Regions from separate parts of the Mus musculus genome. Here region 2 is reported to be linked to region 1. Evidence: microRNA targets listed by miRTarBase, many of them from high-throughput screens and not tested one by one. Region 1 holds a microRNA gene; the other region holds the end of a gene's coding sequence.

Evidence for each region. The annotated mature microRNA mmu-miR-196b-5p reads UAGGUAGUUUCCUGUUGUUGGG and lies in region 1 at 2,077-2,098, opposite strand. An mRNA with a match to its seed (bases 2 to 7 or 8) in the 3' UTR can be bound and repressed. Matches are read on the target gene's strand: a 7mer-m8 pairs with bases 2 to 8, a 7mer-A1 pairs with bases 2 to 7 and ends in A, and an 8mer does both.
Region 2: the mRNA of Eif2s1 is a reported target of mmu-miR-196b-5p. Seed matches in the 3' UTR shown: 7mer-A1 at 1,376-1,382.

Annotation. Positions count from the first base shown.
Region 1 is chr6:52,228,053-52,232,445 of GRCm38, forward strand. It overlaps Mir196b (microRNA 196b), which reads right to left and starts at 2,113; the gene lies at 2,029-2,113. Hoxa10 (homeobox A10) reads right to left here. Exons shown (of 2, transcript NM_008263.3): 2 at 3,145-4,393. It overlaps Gm52902 (a long non-coding RNA gene), which reads left to right. Exons shown (of 2, transcript XR_003956434.1): 1 at 1-2,283; 2 at 3,860-4,393.
Region 2 is chr12:78,884,337-78,888,729 of GRCm38, forward strand. Eif2s1 (eukaryotic translation initiation factor 2, subunit 1 alpha) reads left to right here. Exons shown (of 8, transcript NM_026114.3): 8 at 455-2,674. The coding sequence ends at 580. It overlaps Plek2 (pleckstrin 2), which reads right to left. Exons shown (of 9, transcript NM_013738.3): 9 at 4,361-4,393. Among named protein-coding and RNA genes, the nearest start is that of Plek2, 20 kb to the right of the region's middle.

The DNA.
Region 1 (4,393 bases):
CTAATATTTTTCCTTTCCCTGCAAATTCCTCCAAGACACACACACCCCCAACACAACCCAAGGTGTTCTAAATATCCGGTAGTCCTCTGAGGTTCAGGTTTTCATTAAAGCAATAACCCAGGAGTATAACTCTGCTCTTAATTGTAATAGTAAATGGTAGAGTATTCCTGGCTGACTTTTTCATTTTTTGTATTCAGAGAAGATATGTATCATCACCATCATCATTAATATCATTAATATTTATTAATTTAAAATACTTTTAAAACTTTAGTCTCAAAACAGAAAAATTACAAAGAATTAGGTACTGAGTATTAAGCAGCTGTTTACATGTGGCCCAAAAGGGGGAAAATTCATAAAAGGAGATATTGTCCTTGTGAGTCTAGAAACATGATCCTAAAGTATACAGGTTTTTATTTCTGCTTTCTTTTGGATGAGTTGTATACACATCTAGAAATAATAAATGGATGCAACCACACAACACCTCATGCTCAACTGAGAATCTTCCAAAAACGTTGGTCTTTGAAATAAGCCCAGTACCCGGATGCAGAAAATGGCAGAGAAGAGTTGGAGGGAGCCTGGAGTACTGGTCACTCAGATAACAGGTTGTTGGCTGAGCAACGAAAACAATTCCCGGGCATCAGCCTGAGCCGGGAAGGGAAACAGAGTTCTGTGGTCTCAGGCAGTGCCTGTGTTGTTGGGGGTGGGGAGAGGGTGGTTTGTTTCAGGTTTCTGTATTAAGAGTCGTTAGGCTGGTTTTCTTAGATTACAATTTAGTACCAGTGCCCCAGTTTGTGCCCTCCCTGATCTTGAATTTGGGATTGTTTTCACTCATTTAAAATATATTGGACCTGGGAAGGTCTCCCTTCTCAAACCCTCAGTTGCACAAGGCAGGACATTTTCTGAATCTAAAATGGCTAGCAAGCCAGCGAGCAGTCAAGCCTTGGACCCGGTGAGGCTCTCTCATCACGGTCAAAGCCCGAGTTAGGACCCGTAAAGCTGGCAGAGTCGGTCAGAAGCTTCCCGCTGAAGCGTTCTCAGTAGTCGGGCGACACAGAACCTAGGCAGGAATTCAGCCCTGATTCCAATTTCCGAACCAATGGATCTGGCAAAGTGTTTCCTGCCCTCGATGTGGGCACACAAAGACGCCGCGGGTGCCCCCTCACCGGATCTCTCGGGCAGCCGCTAACGCAAGGCCGCCGCCATCCGGTCGTGATCGTAACCGAGGCCTTGTCTGCGCAGAGGCCCACCAGGCCAGAAAACACGGACCTGACCAGCTTCCCTTATGCACACCTTAGCACATTCAAAACTGTGTACCGAGGGGGTGGGGGGAATGAAACCTCGAAGCTTTCTCTAAGCCAGCCCTTTACCCTCCGGAAGAACGATTTGGAATGGAAGCGGAGAGACAGATTTGGACAGAAAGATGGAAGATGCAAGAAAAAGAAAAGAAAAAAAAGGAAGGAGTAAGGGAAAGGAAAAAAAAAAAAGAAAGAAGAAAGGAAAGAGGATAAAAATACGTAAAAGAAACAGCGGCAACTGAGAGTAGAGGGCGCCCTTGCAGAGGAAGGGTAAGCAACAAGGCCAGGATACCAGCCCCGGGCTGTCCTGACTCTCCCGTCTCTGGCTGGGTCTCTACTGGCGAAGGACCTTTGCCTCTGCTCGTAGCGGGATTACAGTGACGAGCATGTGTTCCAGCCCAGCCTTGCAGGAAAATGACAGAGCCCCACACAGGCACAGGTATGGAAAGCTCAGACAGCAAACGAGCGCCCCTGACCTTGAATGGCCTGGGGCCCAGAATTCTTACCACGCCCCCGGCGTCCAAGAATCAGCCGCTAACCTGACTGTACCTGCTCCGGGCCAGGTGCCGGGCGGCGACAGTGAGGCGGGCTGGGTGGCACAGCGCCGAGGAAGACCCGAAGCTCCTCCTGCACATGGGGATCTGAGGTTGCCACCGCAGGCCTGGCACGATTAGGCCTTGATGGCCCGCCTAGCCATCCCGGGCTGCTCTGGACAGGTACCTGGAGATGCTTTCAACTGAAGTAATGAAGGCAGTGTCGTGCTGTCGAGAGAAAGGTGGATCCCAACAACAGGAAACTACCTAAATCACCGACCAGTTCTGATGCTGCGGGCGTAGGGTTGCCTCGCCCCTCGCCGCCTCCGCTGCTGCCACTGTCGCCGCCAAGGAAAGAGCCCTGCGATTGTGCCCAGTCGAGCCCTCCTCCGCAACCTGTACCAGACACCACCCTAACCCCATGGTGGATGAAGAGGGCTCCAGGCTCCGGAAAGGTACGCCTAGGAGGAGAGAGTGAAAAGGAGGGAAGGGGGACGAGAAAGAGGGAGGAAATAAAAAGGAAGGGGGAAAAAACTAGAAGGGGGGGGGGGGGAGACCCAGCGGTGTGAGGCGGGTTCCCCAGATTCTGCAGCTTTGCCAAACAGAGCCTCCCTGGACGACCAGAAAACGCAGGGGACAGCAACGAAGAGCCGGGTCCTGTGGCTGGCCGCGGCCTCTTCTACTCACTCCCCGCAGCCGCTCGCTCTCCCCCTCTTCTCCCTCCTAGGCGCCCGCCCGCTGAGGCGCGCGCTCCCGCGACCCTTCCCCCACCTAGTGTTCCCCCCCCCCCTCCGGCGAGCAGGAAACGCGTGGCCTAGCGGAGGACCGCCAGGTGGGGGAGGCCGGGCAGGGGGAGGGGGTGACCCTGGACAGCTCGGCCCAGGTCCACTTAACCGCTGTTGCAGGCACTAGTGGTGCTCCGTGAGTGGGCCCTCCTCCGCGGATTTCGGGCGTGGGTTCTTCTGGGACCTGGATACCCGCAAAATAACTGGCTCCTGCGAGCCTCTCTGGGGCTCTCTAAAGAAATCCTGTTTAGCTTCCTCTGTCTATGCCGCTCTCCTCTCAACTGAAACCACTGGTCCAAGACAGCCACAATCCAGATATACTAGCAAGTCATAAAACTGAACAAAAGCCGACAAACCTTAAGGCACCAGGGCTATAGGGCCCAGACAAATTACGACCGTCTAGGTAATATTTAAATAGATGCCTAAAGTAATTGCAGGGGGCTCGGGCTAGCCCTCCTGTTGTAAAAGTGGTGGACAGGATAAAATGGAAGGTGAAGATAAGAAGTCAAAAAAGAGGTGAAATTAAAAAGCTTCATTCCACAGCTTTTATTCTATAAGAACATAAACATCATCTTTTTCCACGCACAGCAGCAATACAATATTAATTTATTCTGATTTAAGATTTTGAAGTAAATAAAGCTAGAACTAACATTTATAATAACGATAGAATGCATTTGCTTAAACAAGATTGGCAATTTTTCATAATAATAGACATTTATACAGATTTGTATTTATAGGTTTTTTTTTTCTTTTCTGCACCTACAGGTTTGACCCTTTTATGCATGTAACTTCACAGTATAAAGGAAATCCAAACAATATCTCCCTTCTCTCATTTTTATTTCTGCTTGCCCCAGCCCACCTAGGCTTCCATGAATTTCAGAAAGCCTACAAAATAAAAAACAAAAACAAAAACAAAAAGTGAATTAAAGCAAAAAAAAAAAAACAACCTCCATTAAATAGGGAGAATTGTGGTGTGCTTTTCTTGTGTTACCAATTGGTAACAGTTTTAATGACGAAAATCCACCAGTTCCACATGTATAAACAAACCTGCATTATTTGTTAACAGCAGGGATATGGAAACTCAAAGGTGAATGAAGGATTTTAGCCAGGCAAGCAAGACCTTAGGCAAACGGGAAGAGAGGTTTCCTTCTCTTGCCCATTTTAATTTTCATTTAAAGCTGGGAGATCTTACAAAAGAAGGAAAAATTAATCTTACTGATTATTTCTTTTTCACTTTTTCAACCAGCCAGGTCAAGCCCTTTAGCTAACCTGAATGTCCATGCTTCCATACTCTGCTCTTGGCCAAGGAAGAAAAGAAGAAAGAAAAGAGAAACCAGGCCTGGACTCCCTGATTAAACACAGCCCAGCACTCCAGGCTGGCGAACCCGGTGGCGGCTCCTTGCACCATTGACCTCAGGCCAGACACCTCAGCGCCGACAATGGGACCTAAGGCTTCCGGCTAAGTTTACCCAGGGCTGGGCAGGAAACCAGATCCGTGGAGGAGTACTGGGGCCCTTTCCTAGCAGTGGGTCCCAGAGGCAGCAAACCCAGCCCATTCAGGACTTGACACTGAGAAAGATCTCAACCTCTATAGAATTTTAGCGATATGGCTTTTTCCCCCAGAAAACAAGCAAACAAACACCAAGCAAACAGACAAAGAAACAAACAAACAAAAAAAGCCAGAACAAACCAGCCCTGCACAGACGAAACGGCCTGGGAGATGGCGAGTGTGGGAGGGAGAAAGGGGCTCCGGCACAGGTGTGAGTTCTGGGGCAGAGGC
Region 2 (4,393 bases), not on the chromosome of region 1:
AATCCTGTTTCAAACATAAAATAATCTGTCTTTCTCTCAATATGAACAAGACCTAATTTCCATATGCTGTATATCTGTGTGTATAGATGTTTCGATCTCTGAGGAAGGATAATAATTTATCTGGAGCCCAAAATATTCATTTTAAAAAAAAACAAAAAAACAACAGGCCATTTGGTGGTCTTCTGCTGTGATCAGTGAACTCGTTTTCAGTTGAGCTTATTAAAATGGCAGGAAGTATTATTCCACTGTAGTGTATACTGCTTCCTTGGATGGTCTTGAATTTTCTTAACTTTCAGCTGATAGAACTTATTCAGTGGTGAGTCAGCACAGGTATGACTGAATTTTGTTAGAAATGAATTTTTTGTTGTTAAATTTTAAACATTGGTCAGTAATACTATTGAAGTCAAATCTACTCTGCTGTTTACTTTATTTTGAAATTGTGCCTCTTCCACAGCCCAAAGTGGTCACAGATACAGATGAGACTGAACTTGCAAGGCAGCTGGAACGGCTGGAGAGAGAAAATGCAGAAGTGGATGGAGATGATGATGCAGAAGAAATGGAAGCCAAAGCTGAAGATTAACGTTTTGGCAAACAGTCCAATTTAAGGAGTACGAAGCAGCCCTTCCTGGCTGTCAACCCTAGACTTGAGAGTTTTCCAGTATTGAAAACTTCAAAGCTGAATATTTTTATTTCCAAGTATTTAAGTATTCAACAAGCCAGAATCTAAATGCCCTCCTTCATGTCAGCTGTTTCCACATAGTGGCTCTAACACCTCAAGCATTTTTCAAGGGAGTGGCTTGATTTGACCAGAGACAAATCTTAAACAGCAGTCCTAATATTGGGCCTACAGTTTCCATTTCTCATGTCTCTGGAATGGCACCCTTATGGTTCAGAGATTTACCAGGGACTCCAAACACAAACAATCCCAATCTTTCTATATAAAATGTATTCAAGCAAACATCAAATAAATTTCTGGGATATTTAATTGTAGGCTTCTTCCTTCTTGTCACAAGTTAAAGCCAATCTGAATGCTCAGATCCTAATTATCTTCATATGGTAGAACTCAATGGGCAAGTAACTAAATGACTTATGCAGGAACAGACTCTCCAAAGGAATGTTAGAGAAGAAATTAGGAATTTGACCCCTGGTAGAGAAAAACCTTGAAATCAATTAAAGATTTATGTGCCTGTTAACTTACTTGAAAGCAGTGATAACTTGTGTGAGAAGTCATCACACTCAGTCCCTTTGGTTTATTCTAAGCTACTTACCTTGAATTCATAATTCAAGGGGTATTTTAATGTGCTGCTGCTTTGATGGAGTTATTTTGAGCAGCATCACCCATCTGAAGGGGACAGTTTCCTCTATCTGGTAGGTGCTACCTAATTCTTGAGTTGTGTGTATGTGTGTGTGTGTGTGTATATATACATACATGGTTTTATATATATATAAACCACACATGATGTGATTTAACAAAATTTTTAATCCCATTTTTACCTTCTCAAACTAGCTACTTTAAAGGTTAATGTGCAAAATAATTTTTTCAAATAACACAAAGTTACAGCTACAATATCACATGTAGAAAGTCTTCATTTAGTTTGGCATGCTTATCTTAGGATATGTATACTATTTATTATCTGTAAGCAAACTTGAAACTAAGTCAGTCCAGGACTAGACATCATGGGAAGAGTTCTAGAGTTGGGTACAGAAGCACATGCTGATGGCTCCAGTACTTGGAAAGTTGAGGAGGGAAAATTCCTTGAGCCAAGAGTTGCTGATCAGCCTGGACAACCACTGCAAGACTCTGTATCAAAAGGATTGGAAATTAGAATGTTGAGAGATGTTTTATGCCATTTATGAAAGTTCTTTTGTTTAATCTACTGGTCTAACCTTGTGTGACCCATTTCCGAGGAGCCATGCTTGCTAGTCTGCATACCATGTTGCTAGTATTTAGGGACTCTGAATGTACTCCAGATTGGCTGACTACAGCAGTGGTTCTCAACCTTCCTAATGCTGGGACCTGTCGATACAGGTCTTCACATTGAGGTGACCCCCCAACCATAAAGTTATTTTTGTTACCACTTCATAACTTTAATTTTGCTACTATTATGAATCATAATATAAATATCTGGTTTTTGATGGTCTAGAACAACCACTGGTCATGCATCAAGAAGCAAGTTTAGGGCCAGGTATGGTAGTGCATGCCTTTAGTCCCATCATAGACAGTGGCAGTTGGATCTCTGAGTTCAAGGCATAGCTGGTCTATATATACCAAGTTACAGGTCACCTAAGACTGCATAGTGAGACTGTCTCAATTTTTTTTTCAAGTTTATAAAAGAACATGAAGGTGTTACCAAAGCTGCAATAGTAACTGTAATCTCAGATAATTCAGAGACAGAATACACATATTTTAAGGATTTAGAAATATAGCTAAGTTGGCCTGGTGCATAGCTAGCAAGTCAAGGCCCTGGGATCAATCCCCATTACCACAGAAGAAAAAATGTATTATCAAGTATAGCAAGCGCCCTTTTCCTAGGGATTGTTTACTGAAAAGTTTTATATTTAAGAGAACAATTTAGTCAGGTTGGTGGCATATATCTTTAATTCCAGTACTTGGGAGGCTAGCCTAGTTTTCAAAGCAAGTTCCAGCGCTGTTACACAGAGAAACCCTGTCTCCAAAAAAAAATTTAAGCCAGCCAGCCATGGTAGTGCACACCTTAAATCAGAGCAGTCTCAAGACTGGGTCTACAAAGCAAGTTCCAAATCAGCCAGGCTACACAGAGAAACACTGTCTCAAAGAATTAGAAATAGCTTATGGCTCCGTGATAGATTTTAATCTATCTGAGCTTTGTTGCTAGGTTCTACAGTTGTGTAAAATGCTGACTAGCCTGGGAGATCAATACTGCAGTGATCCTGTGATGAAAAGAACAAACTAAGACACATTAGGCCAGGCAGACTCACCCAGCTGTGAGACTGAACAGTGTAAACAACACACAGAACTTACATATCTTGGTTCTCCCACCAAAGCCTTCTCATTAAAAATGCTAATAGTTCTGTTTTCCTTCTGCCATCGATTACAGTCATATGGTCCTTAATTTATACAACAAAATAAATAGACTTCATGACTCCTAACAATGATTTGAAACTAACTAAAACGAAACATTGAAACTGCTTTTTTTAATTAGTTTTATAACCAAACATAGCCAATTTTCATGAATATGTTCCAAGTTTTGGGGGGTTTATTTTGTTTGGTTGATTGGGGTTGTGTGTGGGGGGGGGTATTTCAAGATGTTCAGGTTCTTAACTGGAGCTCTAGAGATGTGCTGATCTTTGGGCCACTACTTAGCTATTGTACACCAGCCCATTTGTGTCCTGGGCATTTTTTTTTTTTTTTTTTTACAACGAGAACAATTAAAATGAGTAGGCATGAAAAAAAGCTGGGTCTAGCTAGACCTTGCCAGCTCCACTGCTTTGTCTCAAGCCAGTGCTCATCTGTTTTAGAACCCTTGAGAATCCTCTCACCCATAGCTATGGGAAGCAGGAAGCTATCAAGCCAAATGTAGTTTAATTCCGATAAGCACCTGTCAACATTCTAAAAGTAACTCTAGGTACATTAAACCTGGAAAGATGCCAAATGAAAAAAACGGTGCTTGAAAAGGCAGTCTCTTACAAAGTAAGGAGTAAAGGGAGAAACAGACAAGTTCTTGGGATTCCAAACACGGGGTCAGATATTCCAGACGTTAAGAGGAAATCTATTTTAAGAGAAGTTTTTACTTAGACACTTTAGAAATATCCACTCCCCTTAAATGTAAGTCATGTATTTTATCTATTAAAGTCCAAGCCATTGTCCTTGGCAAGAATCCTGGCCATCACTGCCAGATCACTGTATACATTTAATAAAAAATATTTATAAAAACACTGTATGATACAGACTTGTCACTTTAACCCCCAACTGGGGATGAGCTAATGTTCATTTTTAGACCAAAGTTTTATACCTTGAGTTAACTTTTGTCATTTGTATCCTTGTCGTTTGGAGAGCTGAGGCTCCACATCTTTCTAAATGTCCATTTTATATAAAAAAAAAAAAAAAAGCTGTATTTCTGCCTTTTAAAAAATATCTGCGACAGATTTCAAGAGTATGACATCTGCAACTTGTGATACCTACTGTCTTACAGTACAAGACAAACAGTATCCTCTGAACAGACATCTGTTTGTCAGCATCCCCACTTTAAAGTGAGAAACATCATCCTGGTGACAGATCACCAGAGATTCCTCCACAACCAGCTTCCGTAATACATAGGGCCTCACAGGTTAGAAACCTGTGGGAACCAGAGAACTAACTACAAGAACCATAACAGTCAGGGACAGATGTCATTCTTTATTAATCCCAGAGATA